Neodiprion lecontei: one gene and its partner. The protein of the gene in region 1 interacts with the protein of each later gene in a pairwise test. Links are inferred from orthologs where the notes say so. Each region holds a gene or a part of one and is shown on either strand. Other genes may lie near its edges.

Region 1 (8,435 bases):
TGATTGTTCAGATATACCAAATGCTCCGCCCCTGGACCACCACTCTGAAAAAATACCAAACCAAATCATGAAAATTGAGTTTACTTGGTGGAAATCAACACTTAGTCTTAGGAAAGTGAAAAAGTCACTTCCTCTATGTTAGGAATAACTAAAACTCAGTTTAGGAACGAGATTCACCGGACACTCATTATTGTGAATAGAATTCAATAGATTTCTAATTGGTAAACTTTCATCAACAAGATCGTGAAATGAAATCTGCAAAGTGATTTTCTTTTTGACAGCCTTCATTTCATATCGTGCAAGAATCTTTGCAAATCTTAACTCTTTAAGAATGTATTTGCATTGAAATTATCAAGGCTGACAATTGCTCAGAAGTAGCATAAGTAGTCACAGTTTAAGTGTTATTGCCAAGTAACTTTTTTTTAATTCAACATAATAAGAAGATAATGATAATGCATACACAGCCTACGAGATGTTACATTTTGAAAGAACTGGTGCGTATCAAACGAATATTGTCAATAATACAGTGTCTTAAGTTTTTAAGTATCTACAGTTTTGATCGATGAAGCTGGTCTGAAAAGTCAAGTTGTCCCTAATACTAAATTTACTAAGAAACGAATATCAGTTAATACAATAATGAGCCTCGAGTTGAGACGTTTTTTTGCCAATTTCTTTCCATCAATTACATTACAAATCCATCGATTTGTACTGAATTTTGAGAAGACCGTCGTACACAGTAAAAGAAGCTTTGATAACTAGGTTGATATAAGCTTGATATAATTTTTTCGTTTAAATGAACATTCTAAACTTAAAGCACATAGTTAATTCAACAGGAACTTGTTAATATTTTAGTGACGACTTCAGTTTTCAATGACGATTGATCGATTAAGACTTCAGATACATCACGTTCCAAAGTGTAGTGTAAAAATGTGTGAATGTAAAACGATCCAAGAGGTGAGACCAGGATACTGTGTGATATAGATATGTGAAGATTTAGAAACATATTCAAGAGTAAGATGTTAATTTTTGAGAAATCTTCGTCACTTGCAGCAATTTGAAATAGACAGGAGAAAAAAGCGTAAAAAGCAACAGCACATAGAATTATGTTCACAATTACAATTTCTGCGAAGAAAATATATTTCTCTTTAGTAGTGTATGCAAAAATAATTCTTAAAAATATTAGATGTGATCGAATGAGAGAAAGAAAAAAAAAAAAACACACCGCAGATTCATTTGCAACAGTACTACATAATTATAAAATATGAAAGTTAGTTGATCCATCAAAATTTCAAACATATGGCAAAAACATAACTTTCAGTCATTTCTACTGTTCGTTAGTGCATTGAAGATCGATGCTTCACGTACTAGAGATTATCGCAAATAATTCAACTATATGATTTTCTATTTTGTTACATTTGGTCTTCAATGGTGGAAAAATAATTCTTTAAAAATTTCTCAACAAGGAAGTTGCGATCAATTTGCTACAAATCTTAAATCTTACACATCAAATTTTCATATTAAAAACATGTAGAAATCAAAATACATAACTTTACACTCAGACTCAATTTCAAAGGAGATTTAATCCGTACACTAAACAATCACTCCTATCTTTCCGGACTGAATTCAATTACGAGAGGCATCAAATTTGAATTTAATTTGAAAACAGTGGCAAACCAACATATTAAATTGCATTACAAAGTTTTTCTGCATTTCACTTACACGGAACATCAGTTCATCATCAGAACATTAAACATGCCGACTCATGATTGTTATTATCTATGTTGAAATACATTTATTCGATACGTGCCTAAAGTTTTGATTGATTAGACTTCATCAAAAAGAGTTGAGGAATAAATAATTAGATCGATGCAGAATTTTGTGTTAATTTAACTATTTCATACACTTGACATACGGATACCAGGATTTTATTCATTCATCAAAAATTTATTAGCAAAATAATATCCGCGCTAAATTGAATTTTCGATCAAGTCGATTGGAACTTCAAGCACATGATTCGATACAGGTATAAGTTAGAAACAAGCCAGCAAAATAATAAGAAATGCATCTAAATAAAACGTACTTGAGGCTTTGATACACTAATGAGAAAATAAATTGTGAGTGTGCAAGGGGTTTGAGGAACAGAAAAGAATATAGTTCAGTAAAAAGAAATAAATAGTATTCAACAATTACTGTTTTCTGCTATTCTAATTGCTAATGATATCGCTATTTGTTCAATACTATGATCTTCAACTAGAGCGTTGATTAAACACGGCAAAAGGTTTTTTGCAGGAAATATAGGCCAAAAGAATTTTTCAAGTACATATAAATTTAAAATGAGGTCCATTCTGGAAATCGTACTTCGTCTAAAAGGTAAAACGTATTCCCGAAAAATGAATACTCATTAATTATATTTTGGAATATTTGTTAGTCGAGTAGCAAACTGCTAACCAATGGAAACTTTGCTATGCAGAAAAAAGAATTGACTTGTTCAGAGGTTTATTTAGAAACTACTTATTAAATATTATTTACGTCTACAGAGTACATGTTGTCAACATTTTGGGAGTTACATCAAGTGTGCCTTCGAATTGATTCAGCACTAACTAACTTATACAGGCGACATTACGAATATGCGTAAATCGATGTTGAATTCTGTTTTATGGTAAAACATACTGTTTTGCACTATTACAGAACTCTCTTTAACGTGCTTGAGGACAAAAGGGAGAAACATGTTAGTAAAATACACGCAAAATTGACAAGCCATTAAAAATGTTCAAAATATTGAAATATAATTTGTGCAACAAAGTACTGGGTCTTAATTTAACATCGAAAATAAAAAATATAGCATGTAGTCTTCAAATCAAAAAGTTACTTGCACAGCAAAAGATAAATCAAAAACTTCAATTTTAAAAGATAATTCAAGAAGCAGTTGGGTATGAAACCAAAAGTTCAGATTCAAAGTAGTTACTTGTTTTTCGGTAATGAATTTTGTTTCATACGTAGCTACGTAAAAGGTTTTGCTAGGAATCTATGTCTGTGGCTGTTCAAGTAAAAACGTCTGACGTACGTTTTGAAACTTTCTGTACTTTTTAATCAAGTTTTTCAAGGCATGTATATGATGTGGTTTAAATCATGGAATCTTCAATATTATACTGTCTGTCAAAGGGCAGTCTCATTCCTCCTGGTTTCATACGTTTCAACCCAATAACAATTCAAACTGTAATTATAAATAGCTGAAAAACATAATGAATCGTGACAAATGCTACTGTTACTGTTGGCGATAAAAAATAGAATTGCACGATGGTATTAATAATATTATATCATGTATATACTGTAAACAATGTTAACCTTCAGTTGCATGGTGTGCAACTCGTAGGGTAGATGAACATTGTTCATGGTTTGCAAGCCAAGCTGCTGAGGTTGGCTTTGTTGAGGTATGCCTAGTTTAGTCATTGGATACTTCCACTTGTCATGGTTCTGAAAAAATTTCAAAAATGTAATCTGAACATTATAGAAATAGTTCATTTACATCTCGATCATATTTTTTTCTTCAATTGAATAATAAAATCACATCAACAAAAATTGCAAATTATTCATTTTATTGTGAACAATTTTTAGAGACTTTTGTTTCATTTCTCACATTATCGATAATGGCATCGTCGGCAAGGGCCCAAGCCCTGGCTGGCTGCTTAGTTTGATAGCTCGAAGTCTGAGGAATGAAGTCCTGTTCTGTTGGTCTCTGGAAAACGTAACCAACGGTCGCATCATCTTGAGTTCTGCCGATACCCATTTGGGCGATTTGTCCAGATTGTATACGAACCCCATCGCCACCTGCCATAATTTGAGCGCATTGTTCTGCCTCCTGGACAATAAAAACGACAAAATAAATGGCCAGTATAAAAACGAAATAGATATTAAAAATAATGCCATCTTAGGAATATTTTCTGTAATATCATAACGATATTGTTGAAGCGTACAAAATATTATTTACAACTATATAAACAGACGCGAAAGAAGAAAAATGAAAAATTTACCGGGTTATTGACATTCAGGAATTACGATTTAAGGAGAGTTGGACGGAGAAAAAGAAGGAGCGATGGGAAAAGGTAGCGAAACGGCGACGCATAAGTGTTTGGAAAATTATGGGGATCTTAATTAATAATTATTTATAATGTGTGTGTGTACGAACGGTGGGTATGTGGCCGTTGGCAGAGGGGTGATGCAGCTGCATGGGGGGTGCCGGTTCGCCCCCGCCTCCGGGTAGCCACTTCATAGTCTTGTCAAACACTTTACACGTTGAATAATCACACTTATCAACACCGAAATAGAGTATAGATAGGCCGCGATAACGATGACTTAATTTAAAAGCATTATTTTCGCGGCTGGCATGACATTTCTAAGCACGGAGGGGTACAGCGGCAGCAGGCAACCAACCAGCAATGGCAGCCCGGACGAATTTTTGACAACACGAAAACACAAAGAGATTTTTGAGAGTTTGACTCTTACAAACTATATTCACTATTTATAGCATCCCTCGAGGTCTTCAGGGTAGAACAAACACGGTTGTGGATTATTATCTGGGTATAATTATCGCGGGATCGGATAAAACAGTTCCGGGATTCGTTGGATAGACGCTATACGCGGAAATCCGCAACTCACAAGCAAGATTTTCCACGGTTACTTTTATCGATTCACCCTGACTTTATCGTAAAACTAAAACTAGATACACTATTCACAAGTATTTACAATAACGCCGAAGGTTTCGGCACGCGTGATACGGCATTCGCGTGCGAGGATGCACGGCGATTTTAGCCAGATCTTCTGTCGGTCTCTTCTCGGCTAGAAACGGCGGCTGCCAACTGCCGACATTTTTGTTTTTTACCACTGCGCACGCGCAGCCATGTCGCAATGCACTTCGGGATCCAATCCAAATACTGCGCGCGAATCGACACAGACTCTTTGCTCGATCAAATTGATGTTTGAATTTTTTTCGAAACAAACCATTAGGTAACGAGACGAAATATTATTCATCATTACGCTCTGTTGAAATCTTGGATATTTCTTACTTACCAGGCTTCGTGCGAAAGCCTGCACGGTATGCTACATTCGAGTACAAAACCGGTTCAGGAAAGAAAAAAAAAAACAACAATTCACATCTTTCAACCTGGTTTACAGACTTGATCAAGGTGAACGCTGAGCACTGTATCTGAAATCAAACAATTTTTTCAGTTTCAAAATCCGTCACAGTAAACCAGTTTGTCAACCGAACGATGGATTAAAAATGGCGTTTTATTCCAGTAAACTAACAACAACAGACAATTTCATTTTCCCGACAGTAAAAATTAGACCCAGAAGTATCATGGAATAAAAATTCTGGCACCCATATCCACATTTCTCTATTTTCTGATACCTTGCCACAAGCGTGACAGCAGTAACAAGTTTATAAAAATTGCACGTCAAGAAATGACGGTTTGTAATAGCCTTGCTTAACAATCTAGACACCGAATTTTTAGATTTTTTATTCAGACACACTTTCATTCCTAATTCCTTTCACAGAGATTACTTAATTTTAGGTATAATTAATGTTACCGTTTGTTGACTTCTGTTGTCGAAACACTACAATGAGGGGAATGCGACTTTGCAACAAGCCTTGCAAACTACAGGGCTTTAGTCTAATGATATTCAAAATTGAGGTTTTCTTTCAATTTACCTGTGCGTATTCACAATGAGAAACTGATTGTGTGATGGGCGAGGATGAAGACATTGGGAAGTAATAAATAATCCATTCCGTTCTTTGCATCACGTTACACAAGGGTATATTTCATAACTTTCTGTACTGGTGTTCAGCAGGGTTTAGCCAAGGTGATCCAACGTTTGGCTCATCAGCCAATCGGAATAATTTGATGTATTGGTATTATGGTTATTTCCCAAACCAACCTCAAGCAGTCTGTTAAATGATTTAGGCAGCTGACATCAAGTTCATCTGCAAGAATCGTCAATCAAAAATCGTTACCTTCACCTATTACATTATCTTATTCTTCACTTTGTATCGTTAGCAATTCACACTCAATAATAACAAAATGTTCAATTGAAAATTAATCAACTAAGCATCTACAGGTATGTCCGATATTTGAACTTATAATTTGACATGAAAATTTTACCGACTTGACCTTTGAAAATATCGTTTACAAATATGTAGTTTTCTTGACGAATCGTAAATGAAACATCGGCATTATTAAAAGAACATTAATTTGAAAAATTTCGATGAGGTTCCGACTATTCAAAATCTACGAATAACTTTTTTCGTTTGCAGATTTGATTTTGCTGAGCCACATAATTCAGTGCATTTCAATTCATAACGTTTTGTTTATTGTATTTTTTTATGATAGATATGTCAGGCAACCCATAAATGGTATGGATGTATATGAAAAAACGTCAATTGTGAATTAGACGTTTCCTCGTAGCTGGGTTTCAGGTGAAAATGAAAGTATGCAGAATTGCAAATTAGTTCTCCCATATCGTCAAGCGTATTGAAAGTCTGACTGTAAAAAGTGATAATCCTATCAGTCTTCGGGCATACTCAACTAGCCTTTTCGCGATGTATACTTAGGTAAAATTATTCAACAGACTGCATAATATAAATATATATCATTACAAAATATCACTGAAGGAAAGAAATCAATATTGCAGATTGTTAACGACTTAAATCAGAAAATCGATGCAACACGACACTGTAAACTAGTTTGCAGTTTTAATGTGTGATCGATGTTGGTTGCTTTATAGTTCTCGAAATTAATTTCATCGATGTAGATAACATCTCGGTCATTCAAGGGCCAGGTCTGAGAATACCTGTTGCTTTGTAGTACTTATAAAAAAAGCATGCTCTTACTAAATATGGAAAAAATTTAACTATAATAATTCTTTCCATAGCGCTGGAGTTACAGCAGCAAGTAGCAGTATAGCGTGATACTTGACACTTTGACGGATATGGAGAGACAATGACCATCGCTACCCAATGGCTCAGCTCCATATGATGCGAAATAATTGAATTCTAACCACCTTCGGAGCAAATGGTATCACTCACCAACGTTTGAGAGGCATTGCTCTACTTTTGTCTCCTATATTAGCACCGGACTCATCAAAAATGTCCTGTATTACCCTCCATAGCATTTGATTACAGTGCAATATAATAAGTAACTATATAAACTAACATTTTTTTCAATTCAATAATTATTGTAATGATTAAAAATAACTAATTGATACATATATATGTATGTATATGTGTGTGTATATATATATATATACACATATATTGTACGTATATATATATATATATATATATTAACACATCTTATTATAACCACAATGAAGAAGTTGGCTATGGTTCTCTGTCTCTCATTTTGTTGTAGCGATCTTGGTATATAAGTATGTTAAGTATTTACAATCTGAGAAATGTCTGATAATTGTTGTGTAGGCACTATGGCTTTGGACATACGCTAAGTTTCTACGTTAGGGTACATCCGTAAGAAGCTTCTAAAAATGATGTTTCTCTATACACTCTGTGAAACATGTTTTTGTAAACAAGTTGTAGATAGAATTTCGATAATTTACTGATTAAAGAAACTTTCTTCTATTCTTTTTAAAAAGCAGCTGAAGTACGAAAGGAGCATCGAAGTGAAATGCAAACGAAAAATGTACTATTTCCGTTCGTGATTCAACCCATTGCATATTAAATTTGAGCTTACGACAATGCATAATTTTCCAGTCAATATCTCGCGTAAATCATCCCTAATTTTTTCTCGATATTGGTTCTGCTTCATGTGCACAGATGTGTTTTAGGTAATACGTTAATTGAGGAACACGACGGTTAGTCATTCACTTCTTACTTGTATTTGTGAGCTTTTCTATAAACATAGTAATCCAGATTTGTTTCATCATTTTGCCATATTGCACTCAGCATACCGATACAGAAACATCTACTTTACAAGCTTCTTATTTGGGTCCAGAATAGTACAATATCCTGGTAATATCTTAGATATAATAATATTAATAATAATAATAATAATAATAATATTAAATATGCGTTTACATGTGATAATAACCTAGGGGATTTCTTGTACGATGCACGAGTCCGTCTCCATCCATTACAGATTTAGAGTTACCTAATGGTTAACAGGTAATCTGTAGGTAGTAATACATTTACAGTGAGGATATCAATTTTTGTAGTATGTAAATCGACGTCATATCTACTCCCTTTTTTTTCTTTTAATATACAGCGGGAGGTAAATTCATTACAAGTAATCAAAATTTGAATAAGAAAAAAAAAAAAAAATTAAGATAGGTACGTTTAAATATAATTTTCCCTTTGAACAACTTTATTAGCTGCTCAACAACGAGCATGCACGAGGATAAAAACTCTGACATCCAATCTATGAACG
Region 2 (8,362 bases), on another chromosome or scaffold:
TTCTTTTGCTTATCGTTAAGACGAGACGTCTTGAGAAAAAGTCCGTGTCGAAGGAAATTGCGTAGCAAGTAATTTAGACTTTAAGCTCGCATCAAAAAGGGAGTATGATATATAATTCCAATGCTCGTGGATGTGTAAAAATTGTACGAATAATGGATTAGAAATTTTAGGCCGAGAGAACACATTGGCAGGAAAATGATGCTTCCGACTATCTTTAATTATTAATAAATAAACATTGAAACTATGATTTTTAATTTTCTCCCACATCGAAGTGAATCTCCAATTTCACTTCATGACCCTAAATTTTATCATTTTTTTAAACTAATTTTTTTTTCACCAAACTGTATATAACTGTGCATAATTATGTACGTATAAAATCGGCTTTCTGACCGCGTCAAATTTCACACAATATAAAATATTGCCACTCAAATAAATCACGTCATGTACAGTTTACCTGTTCAACCGTTTAAAATAGCAGTATAAAAATCATTGAAATGTGAACTTCCCAATGGAAAAAGCTACTTGTAAAACCTGCGGAAATGAAAAAAAGGGCGGAAAATGTGTGTCCGGAGAAGTGAGTAAAACGAAAAGTAACGCAAGAATATAATATCCGTAAAAGCAGACTACCGAGTGATCGCTGTTCCATGGATCAAAGAAATAGCGGAAACCCAACAAACCGCAACCCGAAGAAGAAGTTTGTGCGGAGCGAACTTGTTGCACGGTGCTGATCGGCGAGCGCGGCGATCGATTTTGTAAAAAAAACTCGATCCACCGTTCTTCGCCATTTCCGGAAGGCCCGAAGTCCCTTACTCTCGAGCCATCCACAGGGTGGGAAAAACGGCGGCCGCCGGCAACAAAGTCCTTGGCCTCGCTCGGTCAGGTCGACCTGCCGGCCGCCACCTGCCACCCCTGGCTTGCCTGCGGTACGCGTCAATATTCGGCCCGCTCCGCCCCCCGCCCCCGGAAAGAGGGCCGAAGCATGCGCGCGCCTCCGCAGCTAAAGCTCCAAAAGTTTTCGGAGCGCTTCGGGAAGCTTCGCGACTCAGAGGCGGCTTTGGAAGCTTCGGAGCCCCGACTTACACCCTCGGAAGTGGAGTATCAGACATTTGGTTAACGGATTTTCGTGAAAGTTAAACAAATGCCGACAGATGATCACAGTAATTTTGAGTTTGAATGCATTCACGTGATATCTTAGATTTTAGTTATTCAATATTTTTCAAGTCGTTCAACACGATCGAAATCTTGAACCCTTAGTCAAGAAACCTAGACTTGAAGAACAGTTTTAGGAGACGAATAGAGAAATAAATGTTGATGGCAAATAATAGCACCTACATATGAACGTAATATCCTACAGAAATGGTGCCTTGGACGTGATGACCGAAAACCAGTCCATTTATCAGATTTTCGCAAGGGTTTTGCAATTTTCTTTGCCAGAAAATATATTAAAGCTTCTCACGTGCAGTTCTACCCATGAGGCTGTTCTTCACTCAGATTAAAATTTATTAAGATTATTAAAGTTTAATGAGTGAAATGACCTAATAACCGAAACCTGTTGTATATTTTTGACTGGAATAATAATTTTAATTGTCTTACCTTGAAGTATCGATTACAGGTTCTCATAGATTCATGTTTAAACAGATGTCTTATTATTTCAGAGGCACAATAAAGTATAAACTGCAACTTTTCGACAATCCGATGTATTGTGTATCTAGCAAAGGATTGAACTACACATCAGCAACTTCATATATCAGGCCAAAGAAACACCCCTAAAAGTTTCAAATCATTGATCCGGAGGTCTGATATTCCCCTTTTCAAACCAAAAAAGAAAAAATTCTTAAACCTCATACCGAATATGCCGGAGGAAATGTTGGGTTAATAGAAATCAGCGCAATTTTACTTGATAAAACAAATTACTGTTATTTCGCAATATTTCGTCGATCGGAAATATTTCTTTTTTGCGTGATACATAAATCCTACGTTAATCCAGGATGCCACTCAAAATCCTGAATAGTCCAGATTCGGGTTCTCGGTATAAATTAAGGTCAGCGTTCTGAAATCCCTGAAAATCCATCGGGGATTACATGATCATCCAAAATTTTCAAACACGCCACACAGCGATCGGAATCTAATCGATTCCTGGAATCGATTGACCTTTTTGCATTTTAATGATACGTCTCTGACTCTTTGATTCGGGGATCTGGCTCCTTTCATTTTGTCTTATTTTTTATTCAAGGTAGTATAATAATAACGATGTAAAATTCCGGTTCGATTTATTATTTATCTTCCATTCACATCGGATCTACGTTGATGGATTACACCGAACAAATTGGCATGGAAGATCTAAGCGCGAAGGTGACACCGAATAGACTAGATCCAACACCAAGAGAATTAGGAACCTGATGTGTAGGGCAATTAATCTCCATTCAAATCAAACACGAAAACACCGCGTGGAATAGGTTTATTTTTTTACCAAGGAAATTCGCTTGCTATATTATAGAACGCTTATTTTTCTTGCCTTTCAATTCCCTTGGAATATTTGAAAATTAGGCTATAGCCTATATTTTTGTCGAGAATGGTATGAAAAAATGAATGAACATTTTTCTGTCTCAATTCATCTATGTATCGTGACGTTAAATTTTTTGCACTCAACTAAAACAAGGGTTTTTCTTGTGTGGTTCTAAATAACCAAAGTAAACTAACCAAACCTACGCAGACGATTCGGCTTCAGGAAAATAGACACTAACAGGAGAAAAAGATATTGAATTTAATTTGAGTAAAATCAGAGTGAATGGAACTGGGATAACCGATTTCCGGTAAGAATCGGTATCGTCGTTGGTGCAAATATTTGTAAGAATGAAATAATTAATCGGGAAGCAAGCATATATGCATATTGTATAAGCAGATAAGACTTTAGAAGAAAATGGGATACTCATAACACGCCGCACTTCAGGTACAATTTGTAAGAAAAACGCGGATCATCGCAAACTTCTGGACCCACGGAATAAATGATTCGCTGGGTCAGTAAATTTGAGTGTTAACGTACGGTAACAGAAAGAATTTTACTTATCGAAGCAAAAAGTTTCACTGCAACATCAACCGTTTTGCAGCTAAGTTGAGTTTTAATGTAACAAACTCGTTAGTTTAATTTGCAAGGTTTCACCTGTTGCAACAAATTTTTTTTGCTGTGACTATATTAAATATCACTCATTTTCACCATTGTCAATGCTTACGCATCACTGGTAAAAAAATACCGCAGTCAGCGCAATTCCGAATACAAATATCTGAAAAATAGTTTTATCTTATGCAACAACAATGCCAAGAAATGTATTGCTTTAATTGAATTACCAATCGTTGCAAAAACACTTTTCCTGGAGTTATTTTATAATAAAACCACAAATTTTTCGGATTGCAAGTATAATTGGGCTGACTTCGAGCATTTTCGTATCAGAGCTGCGCAGGCTTTGATAACGGTAAAAATAAGCAGCTATTTACTCGGTCGGTAAAGACTGACTGCAGCATCCTCTTAACATAAAAATTTCCTGGTCCAGCCAACTATTTTTTGCCCAGCGTGCCAAACACGTTGTGTAACATAACGAGAAGAGACAAAAGGATGAAAAAGCATCCGAGTCGAAGGAAGAATGAAGAGGCTTGAAATCGCTGGAGCTTGAGCCGCGCGGCACGCGCCCAACTTCTAAAGCACTCCCCTGAGCTTGCAGCGACGCCGACGCCGGCAGCGTCGCCGGCGTCGTTGGCGTCAGTTGCGCGCTTCAGACACGCAGAACACGCGACTTGGCCAAGCCAGGTGAGCCAAAGAGACATATCGATAGACCTCGAGCGTAAAACGAAGATTGAAAGTGCTCGCAAGCACGGGTGAAGAAGGAGAACAAAAAAAAAAAAAAACTTCAAACGCTGCGAGAGTTTGCTTTTCGGTTCGCGGTTGTTGTTGTTGTTGTTGTTCTTGTTGTTGTTAGCTTTTCTTTTTTTTTCTTGTTCCTTTTGTCCGCTCTCCAACTTTCCTCATCCTCAATAGAGTGACGTGTGAAGTTCTCTCACGTGTTCAGACGGTGGTGGCTCTGTTAGTAGCGGAACGGAGCTTCTTCGTCGTCGTTGTGCCAAATTACAAAGGCTGCAAGCTATGGAATGACGTGATTGTGCGGTTGGCTGCATACCGAAAGCTCCTCACTCACGGCCACGGAAGAAAACAGCGCTGGCACAAAGAGACGCCTCCATGCTTCGTGACGGATGGCTGTTACGAGGTAAGCTCTAGTTCAAGGTCATTGCTCGTTCGCCGGGCCGCTGGTCGTTGCCTCGTCGAAACTTGGATCATTTTTAATCCCCATCGTGCGTATTAGTGAGAGAAGTGAGCCGTTGCCAATTATTATCGCCAAACAGCACGTACCGACTCCGGAATCGGTTTAGGCGTGCAGGCGCCGAGAAAATTCCCTCGATTTTACTGTTTGCTTTTAGGAATTTCATGCCGGGCATATTTCCAACGGTAAACAAAAAGCGTTCCGCAATTATATGTAATGCGATTTTCGGTGTAGCCAGAGACCTTGACTTTATAAACGTCGGTGGGTTCCATCACCGAAACAGCGTGGTATCCAATCTAGAGCTTGCGACTTGAGTACCGTTTAATAATTACGAAAGCTTACTTCTTTCAAAGGTCACAGATACGATTCGAGGCTGTTTATGTCATCTTTTTTATATATGTTATCAACAAAGGACAGAGATATATTCAAACTGTATACCAATTGTAAAATGTATCGACTATTCAGAAAACCGACCGAGAAATGTCAATTGATTCAACATCACTTTCGAGTGTTTCGATTGATGTTTGAAATTTTTCAAGTACCTTACTGTGAAATTGAATGATGCTTCTCGAATCAAAAAAAAAAAAAACTTGTTTCATGTTCACGAACGTTCTTCAAAAGTTCCAACAACTTTTCACCTTTGCACGGTCAATTTTTCATTTCACGTTAAAAACTCGAATCAAGAATCGAACCTTTTGTTTTTTATTTTAAATCGAGTTCGAAATAATCATATTCGCAGGTTACGATTATTTCTTCGAAGATACAAAAATATAGTGAGATTATAAAGAAAAGCTTAATATGTATCGATATTTCATTTCAAACTGCGACGAAACGACGATAAATCATTTTATTCAAAAGCCTTTCCTTTTTACAAATTAATTGTAACAGCTGTTTTGTATTTTCTAAGTAGCCAATTCAATATCACCGATTGTTCCGTAAGCATTGGTGAACGTTTTCGTGAGAATTCTATAACTTATTTTTACCCACCATTGTTACCATCAGTCTTCACATTTTAACTTTCAAAGAACCCGACCTTTCCTCTTTTCAATCCGCATTGTCGACTAGCTGTTCATTAAATTTGAACTTCAAAAGAAACGTCATGTTCCGTAGAACCCGAGCGTATCGATTCCGCGTACGCTATCGATTTGAGGAATATAATTACAGCCTCGGTTACGCGACGTGACAATGTGAGGCGTGCGAGACTTTTGAATGGCATTTCCACGCATGAAAATTACGCGCCGAATTCCGAGACGAATTTTACAGTCATGCTTTCGTAGTTTATTCCGATTCTATCGTTTTCATGTAATCAAGGAAATTACTCGGAGCTTTGAACATCCACCTTCACCTCACCGTATATTATACGTATATTATACATTCATATTCTCGGCGGAAGAAATTCGTTGGGGAAAAAAACACTCTGAACCACCTCTTAAAAGTTTTTCACTGTAGTCCAGAAAATTGGGGTTCAAACTTACTTACACAGACAGCCTAGAAAATTCATCCTCGAGACTTTTTACCGCGGGATTCAAATCTTGTTTCGCCCATTTCTGAAGACACGGCCGCGCGGAATCTGTATTCATATATATACATATATGTATATACGTATATATATATAAAAGAAAGGAAAATAACAAGAAAAGTTTTTGGAAGCCATTCGGAACCGAGACGAGGGCTTTGCTACGTCGCCATTATTATACCGAAGTTGTGGCTTCAAAGGGTATAATACACGGGAAATAGCGTGATTTCTTTTTCCCTCTATTCCATAATATCATGGCGAGAGTTAGAAACGGAAGTTGTCTGCAGCTATTGTTTCGCTTTCTCCCAACGATTTCGATTCTTACTTATTTTCCACTTTTTTCCCCTCGCCCGTGAAAATACGTTCAAAAACTTTTCTCATTTTCGTGTCTGGCGAGTCTCCAGCGACTTAAGGGTTCGATCACCTTTCACGCCTAAAATACCGTCCTACAGGCGAGATTCATTCGGGGTCAAGTCTTTCGGCTCCGTTCGACCGTGTCTCCGAGTCAAGTTCATTTCGAAGAGATTTATTGCGGTCAGAGACTTACGGGCCCTTCGTTGTACCTTCTGGAAAGATTCCACGGACACGCATACCGTTTCCATTGATTTAACGGTTCGTCGATCATTCTTCAGCGTGAACCAATTACCTAAGGAAAATGATTCAGGCGGTTGAAGAATGTGAAAATTTTCGAAAAAGCGTGACGGCTTGATTTCGTCTTCAATTTTTCCTGTCATTTGACCGCTTCTATTTTCGTTCGGTCCAAAAGTTTTCACGCATAATTCTCCAAAACAAAGGCTTAAAAAAACCCCACGCTTCATTGCATTACCCAACGAAGTTGAAAGCCCTTATCTTAATATCGTCTTCAGACAACCTTTTCATAGGAGCATTACGTGTACAACGCGAGAAAACCGATTGTGAGCCGCTTACTTCTACCTCTGTAAGAAGAAAGAAATTTTCAAGCTGACTAACACCGACAGAAAGTACCTCGACTGAAATTTTTATTCTTCTTTATTCGTCTGCCTGAGGATTCTTACTGTTCGGAAAATTCCTGGCTGTTCAACGAATGTTGCGTGAGAATCCCGATCCTCTTATATTTCAATATTGAGACTACCACTTATCGGCTCGGTTTGTCTTTAGAAATTGGAAAATCAATTGTCTGAGCTGGGAATTTCACTGTTTTAAACTCTCAAATACATAATTCCAGAGCAGCGTGACAATCGTAAATGTGAACCGGATTCTCGATCAGGACACCCCTTCTTTCAAGAAATAAAACAATATCCCTCTCATAGTAATGTAAATACACCTGAACAAAATATTGGCTAAAATGCCAATAATTTGAAAAAAAATGTACAATCAGACAAATCCAATACGATACAATTATTACTGTTTTTGGGTTCATTTGTCTGAAAATCAATCACATTAAACGTATAGTCACACAGTAGGCACCTGTAAATATTTTTTATTCGTGTTCACTATCATTGGTTTCCTAACTTTTGATTCAGACGGTGAGGACGATTAATCCTCAACCGACCATGACAATTAGAATATATCAGATAAGAAAACGTGATACCTTACACTGACAAATTGACCACTCGTAACGCTTCTTACACGATGCAACTTCATTGCCGTATCTGTGCGGTAAATTTATTCGTAAATCCCGCAGCCGGTATAATAATATAGATTGTCTTGATATTCAACCAATCAGAATGTGTGCGTATTTTTTTTTTTTTTTTTGCATCGAACAAGTTGAACGGATTCTCTTTTTAAACCTAACGAAAGTAACTACGTTACACACTTTGTAAATCCAAGGAGTGAAAAATGTCCAGCAACGTGTAAAATCCACATGAAACGGGGAAAATTTGAAGCAATTAAAATAGGTTATCAAGTAATCGGAGGTGCGTATTTATCGCGGATGAGGAAAGATCAAAGACAGCTTATTAACGGCTGTGTGGATAGCTATAAATACGGTTTCAAATGTGTCCCTAATAGCGGGGCGTGTATATGCGAGGAGTTACATTACCATAATCACCTGCACACAAGGTAATTTACAAGCCTTTGCTCAGGCCTCGCCTCGCCTTAACTTCATACCACCTCCTCCTCCATTCAACCCGGTATTAAATATTCTTTGTTCAAGCTATCAGGCTTTCTGGTTAGGAGATCGTCGGCTGCTACTTGTTTGGCTCATAAGAGGCGCCCGAAGACGGCGTCTTTCAAGATTATGCTAGATAATTCCTCTTTAATGTTTACACCGCGCTTTCGACCGAGCTTCGTACACACAGCATCCCGGACTGGGGTATGCGTGTAAGCCCTCAGGAACCACGTGTGTTGAGCACGGATTTTCGATAAACAGCTTTGTCTAGAAACGATGACCAATCGTACAAGCGACACTTAATTCTCTTACAAAACGTTCCTGTAATCGATGCTGATCCTTAATTTTCTCAATCATGAACACGGGACTCCGATAATTCCGATCATCACGAAGCCTGATCGTCATGCAACCTTACCGAAATATTTCTACGAGGGTATTACGGTGAAA

The links. The genes of interacting proteins can lie anywhere in the genome.
Region 2: the proteins of pumilio homolog 2 (region 1) and brain tumor protein interact in a two-hybrid assay, tested with the Drosophila melanogaster proteins (2 studies listed by BioGRID, with this or other methods). The link is inferred for Neodiprion lecontei from reciprocal best matches to the Drosophila melanogaster genes pum and brat.

Annotation. Positions count from the first base shown.
Region 1 is NC_060263.1:23,974,291-23,982,725, forward strand, and holds the start of pumilio homolog 2, read right to left. Parts: upstream 5,091-8,435; 5' UTR 4,271-5,090; coding exon 4,187-4,270; intron 3,860-4,186; coding exon 3,638-3,859; intron 3,475-3,637; coding exon 3,346-3,474; intron 45-3,345; coding exon 1-44. UniProt on the Drosophila melanogaster protein: Sequence-specific RNA-binding protein that acts as a post-transcriptional repressor by binding the 3'-UTR of mRNA targets.
Region 2 is NC_060265.1:8,528,070-8,536,431, forward strand, and holds the start of brain tumor protein, read left to right. Parts: upstream 1-3,805; 5' UTR 3,806-4,256; intron 4,257-8,362. UniProt on the Drosophila melanogaster protein: A NHL-domain family protein that functions as a translational repressor to inhibit cell proliferation.